3 linked regions of the Sus scrofa genome follow. The protein of the gene in region 2 binds, or shares a complex with, the protein of the main gene of each other region. Links are inferred from orthologs where the notes say so. Each region holds a gene or a part of one and is shown on either strand. Other genes may lie near its edges. The genes, in order: NME1, ANP32A and TREX1.

What was found.
Region 1: ANP32A (region 2) and NME1 share a complex: the UniProt entries of both Homo sapiens proteins name them as parts of the SET complex. The link is inferred for Sus scrofa from reciprocal best matches to the Homo sapiens genes ANP32A and NME1.
Region 3: ANP32A (region 2) and TREX1 share a complex: the UniProt entries of both Homo sapiens proteins name them as parts of the SET complex. The link is inferred for Sus scrofa from reciprocal best matches to the Homo sapiens genes ANP32A and TREX1.

The regions. Positions count from the first base shown.
Region 1 is NC_010454.4:27,413,642-27,420,344, reverse strand, and holds the start of NME1 (nucleoside diphosphate kinase A), read right to left. Parts: upstream 3,909-6,703; 5' UTR 3,816-3,908; intron 1-3,815. UniProt on the Homo sapiens protein: Major role in the synthesis of nucleoside triphosphates other than ATP. The ATP gamma phosphate is transferred to the NDP beta phosphate via a ping-pong mechanism, using a phosphorylated active-site intermediate.
Region 2 is NC_010443.5:166,700,189-166,706,959, reverse strand, and holds the start of ANP32A (acidic leucine-rich nuclear phosphoprotein 32 family member A), read left to right. Parts: upstream 1-3,145; 5' UTR 3,146-5,876; coding exon 5,877-5,930; intron 5,931-6,771. UniProt on the Homo sapiens protein: Multifunctional protein that is involved in the regulation of many processes including tumor suppression, apoptosis, cell cycle progression or transcription. Promotes apoptosis by favouring the activation of caspase-9/CASP9 and allowing apoptosome formation.
Region 3 is NC_010455.5:31,175,300-31,182,105, reverse strand, and holds TREX1 (three-prime repair exonuclease 1), read right to left. Parts: upstream 4,422-6,806; intron 4,215-4,421; coding exon of another isoform or gene 3,962-4,214; 5' UTR 3,553-3,961; coding exon of another isoform or gene 3,485-3,552; 5' UTR 2,497-3,484; coding exon 1,552-2,496; 3' UTR 1,342-1,551; downstream 1-1,341. Other genes in the region: SHISA5 (protein shisa-5), read left to right, coding at 1-11, 96-175; ATRIP (ATR-interacting protein), read right to left, coding at 3,485-3,552, 3,962-4,214, 4,422-4,502, 4,956-5,047, 5,209-5,345. UniProt on the Homo sapiens protein: Major cellular 3'-to-5' DNA exonuclease which digests single-stranded DNA (ssDNA) and double-stranded DNA (dsDNA) with mismatched 3' termini. Prevents cell-intrinsic initiation of autoimmunity.

The sequences.
Region 1 (6,703 bases), on a different chromosome or scaffold from region 2:
AACCTACTGAGCCACCATCAGAGAAAGCCTTGTGTGTTCTTCTTCTTCTTCTTTTTTTTTTTGGCTTGTTTTAGGGCTGTGCTAGCGGCACATGGAGGTTCCCAGGCTAGGGCTCAAATCAGAGCTGTGGCCGCCAGCCTATGCCACAGCCACAGCAACAAGGGAGCAGAGGCGAGTCTGCAACCTACACCACAGCTCATGGCAATGCCAGATCCTTAACCCACTGAACGAGGCCAGGGATTGAACCCGCAACCTCATGGATCCCAGCCAGATTCTTTCTGCTGTGCCACAACGGGAACTCCCGCCCTGTGTGTTCTAAACAACATTGAAGACTACGGCCAAGAGTCTGGGACCACTGACCAGGGCTCCCAATGGGTGTGGAATTGGTAAATTGATTATATTGGCCCCTCCCTCCAGGTGAAGCTTCTAAATATGCCTTGGTTTGTGTGGACACCGCATCTAGCCTAACCCAAGCTTTCCCTTGTCACCTCACAAACCAGGCTGCCACCATTATGGGATTAGAGTAGCTGAGATCCTGTATGGATACCTTATTGAATAGACAGTAATTGTGGGTTACTTTCAAAGGTCATGAGGTACAAAACTGGGCAAAAGAACATGACATTGGAGTTCCCGTCATGGCGCAGTGGAAACGAATCCGACTAGGAACCGTGAGGTTTCAGGTTCGATCCCTGACCTCGCTCAGTGGGTTAAGGATCTGGCACTGCTGTGAGCTGTGGTGTAGGTCACAGACATGGCTTGGATCTTGCATGGCTGTGCCTGTGGCATAGGCTAGCAGCTACAGTTCCGATTAGACCCCTAGCCTGGGAACCTCCATATGCTGAGGGTGTGGCCCTGAAAAGCAAAAAAAAAAAGAAAGAAAAAAGAAAAGAATATGACATTAAATGAAGTCCCATCTCCCCTATGACCCACAGTCAGGAAAGAAAAATGAAATAGTAAAACAGCAGATTAAAGTACTAACAAATTGGAGTTCCTGTCGAGGCTCAAGGGTTAACAAATCCAACTAGGAACCATGAGGTTGCAGGTTCGATCCCTGGCCTTGCTCAGTGGGTTAAGGATCCAGTGTTGCCGTGAGCTGTGATGTAGGTTGCAGACTCGCCTCAGATCCCGTGTTGCTGTGGCTCTGGCGTAGGCCGGCAGCTACAGCTCCAATTCGACCCCTAACCTGGGAACCTCCATATGCCGCGGGAGCAGCCCTAGAAAAGGGCAAAAAGACAATAAATAAATAAATAAATAAAGTACTAAAAAGTAAAACCACCCTGGCCAGGTGGACTGAAGTACTGTCCCAGACTTTGATACATTTGAATGATGAACCAGTAGAACTTGTGGCCTTTTATGCCAGACGAGAGACCCCTGCCAAGATACCCAATGTCTTGGGAAACAGCTCTCTCTGTGGATCAATGGACTGTGCTGCTGAGAACACTAAGCCCCACCCCTGGGTGAGGGGGAATTACTCAGTTTCCACTGGGAGGCTGCAGCCCTGCCACAAGCTGGCCTGTTGAGATGTGCTATACCTGGAAGGGAACATGCACCTCTGAAGAGGGGAGAAGGAAGGGGTCCTGGTCTGGCATATCCCACGCCTACTCCATCTCCTCATGCCAGACAGGGCTGCCTGCCCTGGCCAACATGTATAGCATACATAACTAGGTCAAGTTCCTAGAGCTGCCAACCTCCCTCTCCTCCAGGCCAGATGGGCACATTCGGTTTCCCACTGGAACAATCATTTAGCCACCATTTTTGTCCCCTCCTTTGGCCTGACGGGCATTATAGCACAGAGAGAAGCCCTTACTAAATTCACCCAGCAAGCCTTAAATACTAGCCTGCAAAACCTGTCTTTATGGAACACTTTATCTTTAATGGCAAAAGCTGTCCTCCAAAGCAGGACATTATTACTGCCTGACAAAGGGATTTAGTAAATCAATGGTTCAGATGATGAGGCTCCTGGAGGAGAAAATTGTTATTATTTAGGGAATCGTCTTAATCCATGCGTCTCTTACACATGCCTCTATAATGCTGCTCTGACATCTGCCTCCACTGCAATCAGATGGCTGCCAAATGAGCCGCCTCCACCCTTTGCTGATCTCTCAGGGCACAATGCATCTGGGGAGTGGGGATGAGATTGTGAGAGCTAGTTGCAAGGGGTGGAGTATTGGAGGAGGTCATGGAGAGAATACGTCCCCAGGCAACTAGAGGCTCCTCACCTCTGTTTTTGAAAGGTACACTCTGCCTACTGTCCCCATAGTAGGGGCTGTTCGAAGGACAAAACATAGCCTTGAGAGAGTAAAGTGTTGTTGAGACCATCTGGACTGAATAGATGACTAAACCCATTTAAAGACTCTATGCATAACTTTTAAAATTCTGGTAGGTGACAGCAGCCACCTCAAGCTCCCTTGGTCATTATAACTGCCACCTATAATCTGGAGTGGTCTGCCTTTCTTCAGTCTCTCCTTGCCTTTGTGTGCAGAAGCCAGTTTTTTGTTTTTGTTTTTATTTTTAGGGCTGTACCCACCCTTCTAGCATACAGAAAGGCTAGAGGTAGAATCAGAGTGCAGCTGCAGGCCTACACCACAGCCACAGCCACACCAGATCCACGCTGCATCTGTGACCTACGCTGCAGCTTGTGGCAATGTGTATCCTTAACCCACTGAGTGAGGCCAGGGATCGAACCTGCATCCTTACAGACACTAGTCGGCTTCTTAAGCCACTGAGCCACAATGGGGACTAACATAAGCATCTACTGGGTACCCAATACTATGGCAGAACTGAGACAAGAAGTATTAAGAGAAAAAGAAAAGAATATCTTTCTGGATTATCCAGATGAGGGAAACTACAGTGATAATATGTGAGTGATGTCTAAAACAAGGCAGTATGAAATACAGTTTGACCTACTACCTCAGCATGCTATAACAGGAAGGAGTTTAGAGATTATTTCATTACAATCTTTTCTTTTACAAATGAGGAAACACATCTGGAGTACCAGAAGGAGGGTCACAATCCAGATTTCCCAACCCTCTGCAGCTTATGCTACATCACAAGATTAATGAATATTCTGACTAACCAATAAATGGTGGATTGTGGGAGAACTGTAGCCATGAGTAATATCTGTTGGAAGAAAGCCTAGAGACCACCTACTTCAGACTCTTCCTTTTACAGATAAGAAGTCTCAACTCAGGACCTGCTCTGCCTCCACAAGATGACAAAGGAGTCCCCTCACCTTGAAAGACAATCCCTATGTGGATAGCAGCACCACCTCCTGGCTCTACCTTCCTATAATTTAGTTGGCCTTTTATTACAACACCTTAACAATATATGTGAATTTTCTGTTTATTTCTCACAGGCCTGCCCCTGAATACAGAGATGATTTACTTCCCTAGTACCTAGTTACAGAGCCTAGTACTCAATAAGAGCAAAGAAAATGTCTTAAATGATAACCGCCCTGCACCTCCAAGAAAAAGAGACAAGGCCCAAGAACTGGCGGAGAACTCCTAATAGAAGCTACAGACAAGCATGAATTCCCTAGGAGAACATGGGGCTAAAGAGCCACAAACAGCAGTCCCTATACGTGTTCCCCACACCCACTCTTGATACATATCTGTCATTCATTCAGTAAGCACTGAGCACTGCACTCGATATAAACAAATAAGGCACAACCCTTACAGTCACGGACTGATGGGAAAAGCAGCCACGGACAAAGCCGAGTCCACGTGGCGCGGGACGTGAGCTGACAGGTTTGCACCTGTCAATGGGTGCGTCCCTCCCACCCGATCCCCCTGGCCACTTCTCCGAGTGGAACTTACCCGACCTCTTCACCTCCCCCTCCCTGGACCCCACTCTTCTCCCTTTTCTCTCAGGACCTCGAACCCTTCTCACCCCTCCGGGCACTTGGGCTTCAACTCCGTCGCCTGTCACCCGCACCGGAAACACGCCCCAGCTCCTCGTGGTTCCTAGCACCCGCTCGCGCGGAACGCTTCTGCGCATAATCGGCTGCAGGAGAGCCCATTTTGCAGAACACCACTCGCCTACGCTTCCTCCCGACAGTCGGATATCGTTCAAGGGAGCAACTTCCTGAAGTTCAACTTCCGGTACGGCTTCTCCCTATTCTTCTCGCACGCTGCAGCCATCTTTTTTTTCCCTTTAAGATCTGTGACTCACTTCCTTCTTTCGCGAGCAAACTGGCTTCCCGAGAGGTGGCGCTCACACTTTGCGTGAAAACTGAACTAGCGCCTGACCTAGAAGTAGTCAGTGTCCTCGTTTTACATTTGCTCATTCTTTCCAGCCTGTCAAGCAAATTATTTATTGAGTACCTTCTATGTGTCAGATATTGTTTCAGAGTCTGGGGTATAGCAGTAAACTTTCTTGGAACTTCTCGTGGGGTTGGGAATAAAGACAAACAATAAACAAATGAGCAAATTAACATGTAATATATCATAGTATGTAAATATTACTGAGAAAAAGCACAGCGAGGGGGTAGGGTAAAGGAGTACTTTAAATGTTGACTGGTGTGCTCTCTCAGGGGGTGACAGTAGAATAGACCTGCTGAAGTCAGATTACCTGAGAGCCAGTGGACATTAAGTGCTAGAAAATGCAACTGGAGAGCAGCAAGATTATGATGTGGTGGGAAGCCATTGGAGAATTTTGAGCAGGGCATGATATCATCTGATACATTTAAAAAAAAAAATCATTGCCTGCTGCAGGAGGAATGGCTGTGGTAAAGTACAGGATAGAATCAGGAGCCTTTTCAAAAAATGTGCTGGAGCACCTATAGGCAGAAAGAAAGTAAGAAGAAAGGAAGGAAGGAAAGAAAAAACCTCCACCTAAACCTCCCACTTTGAAAGAAAATCACTCCAGAGGGATTATAGATTTGTAAGTGTAAAACTATGTGGATAGGAGTTCCCTTGTAGCACAGCAGGTTAAGGATACAGCATTGTCACTGCAGCAGATTGGGTAGCTGCGGTGGCATGGATTTGATCCCGAGCTCAGAGAACTTCCACATGCCCCGGGTGCAACCCAAAAACCCCCAAAACAAAACAGGTGGCGGCTCAGAGAATTACAAACCTAACTAGTATCCATGAGGATATGGGTTCAATCCCTATCCTGGCTCAGTGGGTTAAGGATCCAGCATTGCCGTGAACTGTGGTGTAGGTGACAGACACAGCTCAGATCTGGCTTGGCCTTGGCTGTGGCTGTGACTGTGGTGTAGGCCAGCAGCTGCAGCTCTGATTCAACCACAAGCGTGGGAACTTACATATGCCGAAGGTGTAGCCCTAAAAAGCAAAAAAACAAAACAAAACAAAAAAACTATGCCTGCCATTTCAGTAAACAAAGAATATGGCCTGTCATCAAGCCATCAGCCACTGCAGCCTCCCCAAAGGTGCACCCTGAAGAGAAAAATAGTATACTGGCCCTAGATAAAGATGCATGTCAAAGGAATAATTTCTTTCTTTCTTCTTCTTTTTTTTTTTTTTTTTTTTTTTTTGGTTAGGGTCACACCTGCAGCATATGGAAGTTCCCAGGCTACGAGTCAAATCAGAGATGCAGCTGCTGGCCTAAGCCACAGCCACAGCAACTTGGGATCCAAGCTGAGTCTGTCTTCAACCTACATGACAGCTCTTGGCAACGTCAGATCCTTAACCCATTAAGTAAGGCCAGGGATCAAAACTGCTTACTCATGGTTTCTAGTCAGGTTCGTTACTGCTGAGCCACAACAGGAAATCCTCAAAGGAATAATTTCAATGAGCATTTTGATTGTTGTTGTGTTCTCAATGCATATGCATCTACGTTTTGAAATTAGCAATAATCTTTTGATGTTCCACTAACATTTTTTTTCAGCCATGCCCAGGGCATGTTGAGGTTCCTAGGCCAGGGATGGAGCCCAAGCCACAGTAGCAACTTGAACTGCTGCAATGATAATGCTGGATCCTTAATCTACTGTGCCGCAAGGGAACTCCACTAACATGTTTTATGGTTTGTTTGTTTGTTTTCTCAGTAAAATCTGAATATCCTGACTTCTCTCTTACTTCTTTGGAACAGTTCCTTAGAGCTATCTGAGAGTCTGTCTCCCAAGCTATAGTCATAGAAAGGTCACCAAATAAAACATAATTCACAACTTTTAGGTTGTACCTTTTTTTTTTTTCAATCAAACTACAAAAAGTTTAGAAAAAGAAAACATGGTGGAAAAAATCTTCAGGTGTTCCTGCTATGGTGCAGTGGGTTAAAGGATCTGGTGTTGCCATGGCTGTGGCTTGGATTAAGTTCCTGGCCCAAGAACTTCCATGTGCCCAAGGTGCGGCCAAAAAAAAAATTCTTCAAGACCAAGGGGTAGGCAAGTTTTTAGACTTGCCACCTAAAGCAAAATCCATAAAAGGAAAACTCTGATAAGTTGGATCTTATCAAAATTAAAATCTTTGGCTCTTCAAAAGACCCCAAGAAGAGGATGAAAAAAAATAAGCTGCAGGGTAGAAGAAAATATTTGCAAACTGCATGTCCAACACAGCCCCAGTATCGAGACTATATAGAGAATTCTTACAACTCAACTGTAAAGAAAAAAAAATCCAAATATAGAATGAGCAAAGAGTTCCCATTGTGGCTTGGTGGTTAACGAACCTGACTAGTATCCATGAGAACTCCGGTTCAATCCCTGGCTTTGCTCAGTGGGGTAAGAATCCAGCGTTGCCATGAGCTGTGG
Region 2 (6,771 bases):
ACAAAAGAATTGTGGGAGGAGGTGCACAAACATTCAGACCATAGCACGTCTCTTCCTGGTAAATAGTTGAGAGCCAGGGAGGAGCTCAGACACAGCTAATTTGGATCATTTGAAAACCTTCACAGTACTGTTAACCAGAACACTTCCGTGGATTTTGCTTTTGGTCACCTAGCATCAGAATACTCTTTGTTTGGGCAGAATTCTAAAATAGATGAGAGGCAGGGTCACATACCCCACTGTAGGAGCTAAAGGGGCAGGTAATCTTTTCCCCTGACAGCTGGGACATCTGCAAATGTTCCTGCCAAGGGCTTTGAACATTGAGGGAGTGACACATCAACGAAAGCTCTGGAAAGATTATTTGCAGCAGTGGAAGGGTGCAGAGTCTACAGCCTAGAGATGACTTCCAAGGGATGGGGTCCTCTGAAGACTACCTGGAGTACCAACTTAGGTGCTCCAGGCCATCTGGCTTCACATTTCCCACTCTTTTCCTGGACCTTTTTCTTTAGTTCTGTGATAGCCCTAAAAGAAATTGCCTGCTGCTTGTATCAGTCAGGGAAACGTTCCACTGTCTGCAACTAAGAATTCCTACCAACACAGACACCCCCCAAACCTGCTATACCTATCTTTTCCTTTAAAATAATTTTTTATTGCAAAAAAATTATTTGTCAACTTAAAAACTTAGAAAATACAGACTAAACCAAAAAAACACGGAGCCTCATCACCCATAGAGATCACATCACCTTTGTAAAACAAATTTTCTCAAACATTTTCTTTTTTATCGTGGGTACTCTCCTGGACTTTTCCTGGGTATATGAATATATTGTCTTTCTTTAGCTGTGAAAAGTGCTACCACACTATGATCAACATGTTTGTTATTTACCTGCTATTCTGCCTCATTTACAGCACTGCCTCTCCACATGAACACAGACAATAATGAATTGGTCCAGCCTGGTGAAAACTATTTGTCACCCTTACTCAAGTTGCCTTTGAATAAATATATGTAGAAGTGATATAATTCTCCCATGCAAGAAGGCATACAAAATGATTCCAGAGGACAGTGTTCCTCTGCTGCGTAAGTCTTCACATGGCTCTCACTTGGTCAAGTGCAGTGGATGTATAATTCTTACATTCAAGTTGCTAGGATTCAGAATTTTCAGAGAAAGTTTAGGGTATAAGTATACTTCCATAAGGGCCTAATATTTCCACTGGATTTAATATTAAAATTACTAATTTCTCAGAATGCATTAAATTGATCTCTAAGAAGAACTATAGAATATATATATATATCTTAATAATTACTTATAGGAACAAATAATAACTGCCATTAAAAGTAGGTAATCTGAGAGGACAATTTTACTCTGTATGCTTAAGCTTATAAACAGTATTTGCTGACAGTAAATATATTAAAAGTTCTTAGAAAGTCTGTTCTCTACCTCTTACATCTTAATAGACTTTAGTATAATACTCTTTTCTTCATAAACTTCAATGCCAGATAGATTAAAATGAACTAGTAGTTTTAAATTAATTGCATTTCTATTTTTTTTCCAACCTAGGATGCCCTCAGTCAGTCTTGCCCTATGGCTCCTCATTCCATTGCCTTTAAAACCTCTATTTTTTCCTTTATAACTATATTTTAAAACTAAAAATAAGAGCCTATCACTATGGTTTTTCTTCCTGGTGGATGGTAAACAGACTTTCCTCTTATTGCTTCCCCCAAATTACCTGTAATACATTTAAGAAACAGACTCACAAAATCTCTAGTGAGTTCCAAACAAGTGTGTAGACTATAGGGTTTGTTGTTTGGTTGTTTTTCTTTTCAAAATAAACTGTGAGTTGCTTCTCTGATTTTTTGCTATTAATTTAAAAAAATCACATACAATGATTATTTTTATCTGACAGTGCTTTTTCTCCATGACCAACACATTGATAAGGTAGTTATTCAATAATTTGAAAAATAAAATCATCCAATGCTTTATTAAGCAAAAGAATTAAGAATAGTTAACCTTTCAGATCCTGGACTTCAATATGCCTTTGCTATTCAAATCTCAATGCAGTAGTCTTCACGTTTGTTACCATGAATTTCAAAAGAATAATCTACATTTCTAAAAGCTATTTATATAGAAAGACAAAAGAGAACATAAATAAGCTGGAGTCTTTCCGTATCATTGTCTTTTGAGGTACAGGCAGCAGAACCATGATGGAGGTGAAAAGGTCCTATGGCCAGGTTCCAATGTATGTGATTCAAGCTGAAGAACAAAAGCTGAACGGTGAATACATTAACGCGACTCATAAAAGTATGCTAACCAGCGGGTCTCCATCTTTAGAGACCAAACAAGGGCAAATGAGTTTAAATGGTAGCAGCATCAATGTGGATTACTTATAAAACAGTACTTTCCAAAATGTATCAAGAGGCTAAGGATGCCCATTGCTCATACTTCTTAGAGAATAAGATAGGCTGGCTGCTCGTTTGTTTGGAGTGGTTCTTGAAGGAAATATTCTGGAAAGCAGTCAGATATCTTTCCTTACTTGAATGCCATCTTTCTCCCTAGGGGTTCAAACCTTTGAATTGTATCTCATTTATTCTTCTTAGTGTGAATCAAATCCAGTCCTGGAGGTTACAGACTACATTTTTTATAACCTTAACTCCCATTGTGGAATCACTTGAGAGTTAGGAACTCATCTTCTTCCCACTCCACATCAAAATTCAGCCAAGATTCCCTGACATGGAATTTATTCTTACTGTATCTCTGATATTCAAAGCCTTTCAAGGGCATTTATTTCCTTCAGTTTGCAATGAAATGGATTTAAGAAACAACTGGATAAAACAGGGAATATAAAGGCAATGTTCACTTGTTATTTTGATTTTCGATCAAGTAGCATGAGGCATATGGCACAGCTCTGGCTGAGCTATATTCCTATATCCTTTTGATAATAACAATTTCAAAAATCTAAATCACTAAAAATTTCTTGGGAATAAACTACAAACAAATCTATTTGTGAAAGTGAGAGAAAAATATCTTCTTTCAAAGTATGTTGGAAAGATGGTAAGTTTTCAATTAGCTATATACTGTTTGGATATTTCAACTTCTGTAATAATTGACATCCAGTGAAGCCTTTTTTTTTTTTTTTTTTTTTTTGCTTTGTAGGGCTGCACCCATGGCATATGAAACTTCTTGGGCTAGGGGTCTAATTGGAGATAAAGCTGCCAGCCACAGCCACAGCAAAAATCCGAGCCACATCTGCCACCTACACCATAGCTCATGGCAATGCTGGATCCTTAACCCACTGAGCAAGGCCAGGGATCAAACCCACAACGTCATGGTTTCTAGTGGGATTCGTTTCTGCTGTGCCATGACAGGAACTCCTAAGGAAGCCTCTTTCAGTTTTCCAAAACCAGTACAAAAGCTGTTATATCTAAAACAACTGTTTGACTAGTAATCAAGTCATGACTTTTTTGATTCTAACTTGTTCCTGGACACTCTTTTTAACCAAGATTTGGGCTTTATTCTCTCCAGTCTTTGTTCCATAAAGTGAGCTATTTGCTTCCGAATGGCAGAGCTGGATGGGGGACATCTTAGCATTTGATTGGTTGGCTTTTAAGGGATTACTTCTCTGGAAAGGCACTGTCCCATATTATCACATTGCTAGCAGTGTGGATTTAGTTGTGATCAAATTTTTAAATTGAAGATGAACATTTACCACCAAAGAGGACATAAACTTCATGACTCCTGTGTTATATAGATTCCTATACATCATATTGGTTTAATGTGTTTGTGATGAAGAGCTCTGTTTTAAAACAACCTTAAATACCACATCCAGAAATAGGAACTGACTCTGGCAAAGAGGTTATTCGGGGTCCCAATATGTTTAATAACGAAGTCAATACAATTTTAAAAAGAATAAATTCCAACTACACAAATGGACTTTAATAAGATTAACAAAACTGAGGAAGACTGATACGTCAATAAGTCAACAAGTATATATAACATACCCAGATGAAATAAAACAATGACTTCCCATTTTTATCTTGCATTTCCCAGCTACTTAAGAGTAAACATGATCACTTTTCAAATCCCACTTAATATTTTATCTGAAAGAAGAATTTACTGAGTAAAATGCTTAGCTTCAGGATCTCACATTTGCAATCCATCAGGTTACAATATTAGTTACCACTGTTTCTTCCCTCGGTGTAAGCATTCTATATGTGACTTTTACTTACATTCTGCCACTTTTTATTTCTTCCTAACTTTTATATGCTCAAGAATGAAACTGTATTGGTGTTACGTAACATCTCAAATTTGCAACATACATATTGGTGTATCTCACTTGAACCTACATCCCTGAAAAATAAACACAATGTATCCAAAAGAACTACCTCGGAGTGTATGAGGAGGAAGAGCGTAGCTGTGTAGAAATAAAAGAATGGAAAAACAGTTTTGTGGAGATGTATCTGTCCTTGTTGACAACAATCCCCATGATTTATTAACAGACACAGGCAGCCAACTTAGTACACAACAAGGTCCTAGCACGGAAGTTGGTAATCAAGTGGGAATTAAGGCTTTAAGGTCTCTTACAACCAATGTGATTCAAAAAAAATCCAAAGCAAGCAAACCGTACAACTTGGAGAAAGTGCTCCAAACAGAGCTTCTTTGGCAACCCAAATTGAACCAAATGACTCAGGTGGACGATTAAAATAAACTGTGCGCCGTTTTATTTCACCAGGTCAATAAAGCCCATAAATTATTTTTGGTCCAGAAAACCAGGAGTTACAAGCACCTTCCTTTTCATTTATTTAAAATATTCAATATATTCAGTATCAATTTTTAGTCCCTGCTCTTCATTCACTTATTGACTAAGATCCTGTGTGCCTTTTGGTGATCATTCCTTCCAAGCTAGTAAAACAGCAAACTGAAATGCCCCTCCATGCAGAGGGTCGAGACCGAGAGGTTAAGTCACCCAAAGGTGGACGCACCTTGCTTTTTATTTACTGAAGTATGCGAGGGACTACGATGGCCATGGCTGGACTACGACGAGGCGGGAGGCGAAGGGGCGCGCGGGCTGTGGGCTGTAGCTCAGGGGTTGGAACCCGCAAAAGAGATGGGGGCAGCAGCCACCCTCCACTAGCTCGGCCCAAAGGACCCAGAAAAAGACCACCCCTCCCCCCACTGCACCCTTGACCCCTCCCCCTCTTTCCAGGCCTTTCATCCGCCCGCCCGCGGGGCAGTCCGCTGCCCCCAGGCCTCGCACTGCCTGCCTCTTTCCACAACCCAGTGGAGGGGCGAGGGTAGGCCCAGGGCGACCCCGCGAAGCCCTCCGCCCGGCGAGAACCCCAACCCCCGGCCCCTCCGGCCGCGCCCCTCCCTTTCATATAACGCACCTGCGGCCCCGCCCCCGGCCAAACGCTGAGGCGGCTGCGGGGCTGGTGAGGCCGGGCGGCTTGGCCCTCCAGGCACAGTCACCTTCCCTTCCCCCGCCATTCCGCCCACCCCCCTAGCTCAGCAACCGAGCTGCCGCCGCGCTCCTCAGCCGCCCCGAAATCTAAAGGGGTCCGTCTCCGGTACCACAACCAAATGGCTGAGCCTCCCTGGCCGGCTGCGCAGCCCGCCCATTGGTCCCTTCCCCCCCGCCTCCGCCACCATTCGTTGTTGCCCGGAGACCCTCGGCGGCGATTGGCTAAGGCCGCTGCCACTCGTCCGCGGAGCCGCCGATCCCGCCTCCACGGTGATCAGGTTAGTGTGCGCCGCGGGTGCTGGGGGCTCGAGAACCGAGCGGAGCTGGTTGAGCCTTCAAAGTCCTAAAACGCGCGGCCGTGGGTTCGGGGTTTATTGATTGAATTCCGCCGGCGCGGGAGCCTCTGCAGAGAGAGAGCGCGAGAGATGGAGATGGACAAACGGATTCATTTAGAGCTGCGGAACAGGACGCCCTCTGATGTGAGCATTTGCCAAAAATATCTCTGTCGGTCCATTCTCCTACTTTGTGTGTGTGTGTGTGCGTTGGGGGGAGGCACTTTTTTTGGGGGGGGCGCCTAGGAGATGTGGGTTTGGGGGTCGGACTGCAAATGAATTGCAAGGTTGGGGGGTTGCAATGCCATCCGATCATTTTCTGGCTGTCGCCGCCGCTGCCCTTGGTGTGTGACTACCTGTGCGTGTGCTCCCGCGTGTGCGAGTGTGGGTGCGAGAGTGTGCGTGCGAGTGTGCACCCATCGGGGGCCAGCGGGCGCACGCGTTTGGGTCGGAGAGAATGAGGCAGAATAACCCTCTGAGCTCGCTGCTCGCGTGACTCCGTCTAGGGGAAAGATTAACGAGGGAGGAGGAGGAGAGGGGCTGCCTCCTGGATTTAACAACAAAAAAAGGGGGTTTTATATTTTATAAATGAATCCCCCCTTCCTCCCCCCTCCCGCGCCTTCCCCCTCCCTTTCTCCCTCTCTCTCCGTCTCTCTCTCTCTCTCTCTCGCTCGCACACACACAATAAGTTTTGGGCTTCGCGAGTCCGGTTTAGTTTCTGATAAATGTGGGCCGAGGCCCCTGGGGAGAGCGCATGGGGAGGGGGCTGCAGCGGAGTTGGGAATGGCTCGAGTTTAAAGTGCGTCTTCATTTCTTTGCAGTGATGAGGCGAGAGACGGGGGAGCCATATTTGTAACTTTGTAGTGTTCGTGAACGCGCCCTTTCTCTCCCTCCCTCCCTTTCTCTGCCTCCTTTCCTCTCCTCCTCTTTCTCCCTCACTCTTTCCACCCCACCTTCGGGCCAGATGCTGATGTTTCTTCCTTTCCTT
Region 3 (6,806 bases), on a different chromosome or scaffold from region 2:
AACAATGGCTGGTGAGTATCCTGCTGACCCAGACACCTCCCGACCCCCCTGCAGCCCGCATGCCCACAGCCAACCAGTGTCCTCTCCATTTTCAGGAGGTGCGGCCATGCCCTACCCTGCCAGTCAGCCTCCTTACAATCCGGCCTACGTGGATCCCCCGAAGGCAGCTCCCTGAGCACACCTTTGCATCTCTGGCTGCCACTTGATCTGTCATGTGTGTATGTGAATGGGTATGCAGGCACGGTCTTGTTTCTTCCCGTGCGTGGTGTGTGTGTCCTATTTGTACACGAAGTTTCTTGTGAGGGGTGGGGGACAATCCTTCCCAGAGTTAATTGGGACCATAGCTTGTTCCCTTCCTGACTTGAAATTATGCTTCTGAAATCTCAAGCAAAACTGAAAGAATGGTTCTCTTCCAGACAGCCCAGGGAGGCCAAATGGGGGTTGTCACACTAGGATAGCACAGCTTTTTGTGGGCACAGTGCACCCGTGTTCCAGTTTCTGAGGAATGCTGGCCACTGCTCAAGGCCATGGCTTGTCCCCAGACTTGCCTTCAAAGAACCAGAGCCGTGATGCAAAGTGGGTGAGGTGAGGCTTGGGAGCCAGCCAGAGGTGGGTTTCAACCCTTGTGGCAGACAGCCCACAGCTCCCACAGCCTGTGCCTTGCCCATTGGAGGGAGGGCAGCCTCCTGATATCAAAACATCTCAGGCAGAGCCGCACCCTCCCTCGAGCACTCTCTGCCTGGACTCTTGCATCCTTCCTGGGACCACCTGGAAAGCCACATTTACCCATGGTTCTGGCTGCCCTGACTCCCGCCACAGATGCACAGGCTGGCCTCTGTCTACCTACACACTCAGGTGTCATCCCTGCAGTGTTTTTTGAGCTAAACATTTTACCTGCTTTGTTTCAAAGTGTGTGTTATAATTGCTGTGAGGCTGAAACCCCTGGGTCCTAGAGAGAAATTGCCCCAGAGGAGAGAGACTGTCTAGCGTGATAGCCCCTGCTTCCCCAGCACCAGCCTCACAGACTGTCCAGCTCCTGTACCCCAGTCCACAGTCTGTCCTGGCAGTGGGGACACCTGGGCCAAGGGGTCATCTGGACCAAAGGTGGAAGGGGCCCTGGGTGGCTGCTTTGGCCCAGACACAATACCTCGGTGTTCCCTCTCCTCTATAATGTCTTACCACATTGTAGCTTTGTACCTGTTCGTGTGTTTTTGAGAATCTAGAGTCTGCACCCTTGTTTATAATAAATGCAAGTATTTGGATCTGCTGTCCCCCTGTTTTGTGGCCTTGGCTGCTGGGATTGTGTATTAGGCCAGGTACCAACCATTTCCATCCAATATTTGGAGTTCATTTCCCTCACTTTTATTGGGCTCAGACGTCTCATCATCCTGCTATGAAGGGTGATAACAAGGACTGCCACTTTCTGTGTCCTGGCCCCAGGTCTCTGAGTGTGGGCAGAAGTGCAGGAGGCTCTAAGGCTGCCACGGAGCATAGAGGTGAGTGATCACTCAGCGCTGTGAGAGGGTCTTTATTAGTCAGCCCTTCCTTGGCCTAATGCCCAGGTATGGCTATGGACAGCCCATACAGTGTGGCTACTGCCAAGGTCAGGAAGGCCAGCAGGCCCAGTGGGGCCAGCAGTCCCTCCCTGGGTGGGGTTCCAGGGCTCTTCATTGGAGAAAGGGGCTTGGGGCTTCTGTCCCCACCAAGGTTGGGGCTGGTGTTCCTGGCTTTGGCCAGGAGTACAGTGGCCTTGGCAGCAGATGGCCTTGGGTTGGTTCCAGTAGAGGCTGTGACCACGTACATCGGCTTGACGGTGCTGAAAGGCCTGGCATGAACATCTACCCACCGTAGCAAGGCCCGTGGCCTCCACTGACAGATGCTGAGCAGGGCTAGGACATCACCCTCAGCCGTGTGTGAGTCTGGTGGAGCCTGGCCATACAGGCGTGTATAGATGCTGCCCAGACTGTAGCTCTTCCTTGGGCCGTGCTCCGAGGAGCCGTCAGCTTGCTCCAGGGCCTTCAAGGCTGCAATACTATCCACACAGAAGGTGTCATCCAAAGCACTGGCAAGGCCCAGCATGGCCAGCTCTGCCTGGAGCAGGGGGAAGTCGTAGCGGTCACCGTTGTGTGCCACGAGGCACGAGGGCTGTGGCTGGCGCTGCAGGAAGGCTCGGAGGAGATTGGCCAGGTTGGCATCGAAGTACTGACGCCCATGTGCAGCCAGTACAGCTGTGCTCAGGCCAGTGATCTCGCTGGCTGCAGGGCTGCAGGCCTTCCCTGGAGCCACGCACAGGGAGAGCTTGTCCAGCACCCGAGGTGGCGGTGGCACCGTGGGAGAAGGCCCCTGTGGGATGGGAAGGCTCTCCAGGGCACATCTATGGACAGCTAGCAGGCATAGCTCCGTGACCTTGGGCTGGGAGAAGGGCAGGCCAGTGGCCTCCAGGTCCAAGAAGATGAGGGTCTGCACGGGAGCCTGGGGCAGGGCCTGCGAGCCCATGGTAGGTATCTGGCGCTGAGCCTGGGGAGGAGCATGGGGTGGGGGTGGGGAGGGTGAGTGCCCAGTGATAAGAGGAAAGGAGGGTAGGGGGTGGGTGGGCAGGAAGCCAGAGAAGGTGCGGTGGCTTCCTTTGTGGGATCAGCATACTCAGCTATCTGATCAGGGGAAGGTTTGGCTCCTCCCCTAGAACCCACTTAGCCTGGTGTGTGTGGGGGAGCAGGTACCCACAGCCCTCCCACCCTACCCCATCCCCTTGGGGGTCCTCACCGAACAGCAGGCAGGCAGCAATGACTCAGGGTGAATGCTCTCTGGCTGGTTCTTGCTGCTGGCAGCAGTGGCGGGAAGTGAAACTGGGCCTGAGCCCGCCCAGGAGCTGGTGTGAGCAAAGCCCGCCCCTGCTCGTCAGCCTGCTGGGCTGTCCCTCTTGCCAACACCCGTTCCCTCCCCAGGCACCCACAGTACTGCCTCAAAGGCCTTCTCAGATCTCTGTCTGGCACAGTGCACCAGGACCCCTGGACAGCAGGGGACAGGGCTATCCGGGAAGGCGAGCTCCAGGACTCAAGCCTGCCGGGAGCCCCTGCCATGGCGTTTGTACCCACCCCTTGGCCCCACTTTCCCAGGCCTCCCTGGTTTAGGCCTGGGCTGAAGGGCTGCCTCCTTCTCTGCCACACAATGGTTTCTAACCATGGCCTCAGCCCAATGCGATGACTCAGGGCAATTCCACAGGCAGGGCAGAGCAGGGCTGCTTCCTCAGAGCAGATTCATCACCAAGGGGCTGGATCTCAGCTCCCTCCAGGGACAGTAAGAAGGATCCCAGTTTCCTTGGATCCCGCTCCTACTCTGTCCCTCCCAATCAGCTGACACACATCAGACTCAGGAAACAAAGGCTGGTATGTTCTCAAACAGCCAGTCACTGCTTTTAATCAGTGGATGAGGTAAGGAAATGAGTGGCGCTGGTGCCACCATGTGGCTCGATGTTCACCCGGCCTCAGCCACAGTCCATCTCAGGGTCGTCCACATCGGGCTCTGTGGCGCAGAGGTCATCCAGGGCTGCCTCTGAGCCAAAAGAGAAGAAGGTTCTGTGGCCAAGGCCTAAAGGCGCTGGGACTGCAGCAAGTCCACCTCTCCTCCCACACCCAGGCCCACAGGAACTAACCAGTCCCTTCCATGCCCAGGCCTTGCTCCCTCAGCTACTGCAAGCAAAGTGATACAAAGGCAATTCAGACAGGGATGTTTCTGGAAAAACCGTGGTTCTGCCAGGCTGATTCAACAGATAGGAGCAAAAGGCAGGCTGATAATACTCAGAGAAGAACCGGAGCAGGAAGACAAGAATGGCCCCAGTGCTGGCAAAGGCCGTGAGCACGGAGGGCTGCTGACCTAAGGTGGGGAGGGCTGACCTGCCCATAGACTCCAGGGCAAACCCCAAACGTGGGCTGGGCAGGGAGGGGCCGTCTTGCCGGCTCACCTTCACAGTCTGTCACGTCAGGAAGCCCTCGAATCAGCAAGCTGACCCCTGGCATCACCTGGTCGTACTGATGCAGGACCTCCACGCAGTGCACAGTGAAGAGCTTGTCCTTCTGGGACAGGCTGTGCAGCAGCAGCACTGTGTCCCGCAGACACCGCACTGTCCGCTTCTGCTGGTCAGTCCTCGGGAGCGCCCCCGCCCTCTGCACCGTCAGCCACTGTCTGTGCAGCATCACGGTGAGTGCTCTGACCACCTGGGACAGGGGCAGGCTGAGGTCAGGCCTTCTGGTCGCTGTGCCCTAACAACCTGCTCAGCTGGGCAGCCCCTTTCCTTGCCCCCCAGGTGAGGAAGGTTCTGAGCGGTGCTCTAATCCTGGGGAAGAGCACAGATCCTTGCGCGGGGCCCCCTCACCCACCAACAGAGCCAACCGCTGTTGCCCCTGCTTGTCCCTGGCACTCACCTCCACGTTGCACTGACAGCTGGAGCCGGTAACTGGGGAAGAGGGGCTCTGGACACCAAGCTTAGCCAGGAGCCACACGGCCTAGAACAGGAAGAGATTCTGTTCCATCCATGGCAGAACAGGACCTTGGTCAGTGAGAGCTTTCTCAAGCTTCTCTAAGAGCTCCGGTTGTCTCAGCAACTGCTCCTCTGCACTAAGGATCCTAGAGGTGGTAGTATTGTGAGGCCTTCCCAGGAGAGGCTTGCCAACACCTGTGTCTCACCAGTGACCCACCTCGTTCCAGGCTACCTCCAGCCACCAGGCCCCCAAACCAGGGGAGCATCAGTTATCAGGCAACCCTGCTAAGTCCCAGGATCCCCAGAAGTCCGCCTGTACTGGATCTGTGTTGTATGGAGCTCCCCAAGTGAGTTTACCTTGTTAGTGGCTGAACTCATTACCAAAATGAATTAAAGCTCCCTTTGTTCCCAGAAGGAGGAAAAGTGGCTCTGGAGTGGGGTGGTGAGCAGGCCACAGAAGGGGCTCTAGTAGTTTTACCTCTTGTTCCAGCTGAAGCCACTGTGTCTCCGAGGCTGCTTTGTCAGGCCTTGACGTGATGTACATGTACAGGAGGAGGAGGAGGCAGCCTTCTGGAAAGGATGTCCCACCTGTCATTCAGGGTTCCCCTCCCTACCCAGCACCTGGGTACAAGCTGCAGAAGCCCTCAGGAGGCCCCTGACCTGTCCCTGCCACCACCCTTCACTGCAACTTGCAGGAGCAGCCTAGACGTACACCCCAGGCCTACTTTTACCTGAGTGGGAACAGAGCTGAGGGGCGAGCTTCTCATGGTCCGCCAGGAGGGACAGGAGCTCAACAGTCAGTAGCACACCAGGCAGGGGTGTCTCTGGGCGCAGGCACTGGGGCAGCACCCGGAACACGCACTGGAACCTGAAACGGGCCCAGAGAGATGTGACACCTCCGACCCACTCCCATAACTCACCCTCACTTTTTACTGGAGGTTAACAGGAACTTCCAAGAGGCCAGTGCAAAGAGAAAACTTGATTCAGAAAGATCTGGGTTCAAATGGCAGCCTACTTGCGGATACTCATTTTATGTGACCAAGTGGGTACCACCCTCCACTGCAGGACTGCTGTGGCTTGGAGATGACAGGTCCTTAGCTGACAGTGCTGTCCAGCATTTGTATTTCAGGATGCCTCCTTGGACCTGGGGTGCCTGGCCTCCATATTGCTCCTGGGAGGCTCTGCTCCCAAATAGGAGGCAGGTCTTAACTTGGGTGTGAGAGAAATGTCCTGGGATACCACCAAAGAATGAGCCAGGCTTCAGCAGTGATGGAGCCTTGGCTATGGCTGGATCTTATGAGGCTAGCCAACCCACCGCCTGGGAATGCAGCCCCACCCATTAGTAGACAGGCTGCCTAAAGACTTTCTGAGGAGTTCCCACTGTGGTGCAATGGGGTTGGTGGTGTCTCTCCAGTGCCAGGACACAGATTTGATCCCTGGCCCTGCACAGTGGGTTAAAGGATCCAGATTGCTGCAACTGCGGTATTGGTCACCACTGTTGCTCAGATCTGGTCCTTGGTCTGGGAACTTCGTATGCCTCAGGGTAGCCAAAAAAAAAAAAAAAAGACTTCCTGGGCCCACAGCCACCTCTAGACACACCCCTTGACAAAGCCCTGCCCCACCTGAGGGCCAAGACCCAGCTCCACCCATCAGGAGCTGCACTCCCATGGGGAAGCCTGCACAAGCCTCTAGATAAGCTTCACTCACCTGGAGGCAGACACTCTAAACAAGAAAATATGATCCTGCATCCTGCAGAACTGAGTCTGCAAACAGGTCAGAACCTACCCTGGGACTAGCTGGTCCCTGGCCCCTGGGTAACAAGAGGGGAGTGTACTGCTGGCATACAAAGGCAAGTACTGAAATTGAATCTGTGATTAAGAAACTCCCAGCAGGAGTTCCCTTTGTGGCTCAGCGGGTTAAGTACCCAACACAGTCTCTGTGAGGGTAGGGGTTTGAACCCTGGCCTCACTCATTTTGCTAAGGATCAGGCATTGCTGCAAGCTGTGTGTAGATTGCAGATGTGGCTTGCATCCGGTGTAGCTGTGGCTGTGGTGTAGGGTGGCAGCTGCAGCTCGCAACTCCAATTTGACCCCTAGCCCAGGAACTTCCAAATGCCACAGGTGTGGCCCTAAAAAGAAAAAAATATATATTTTAAAAAAGAAAAAAAACTCCCAACAAAAGTCCAGGACCAGATGGCTTTCACAGTGGATTCTATCAAACATTTAGAGAAGAGTTAACATGTACATCTTCTGAAACTATTCCAAAAAATTGTAGAGGAAGGAACACTTACAAATTCATTGTATGAGACCACCGTCACCCCAAGACCAAA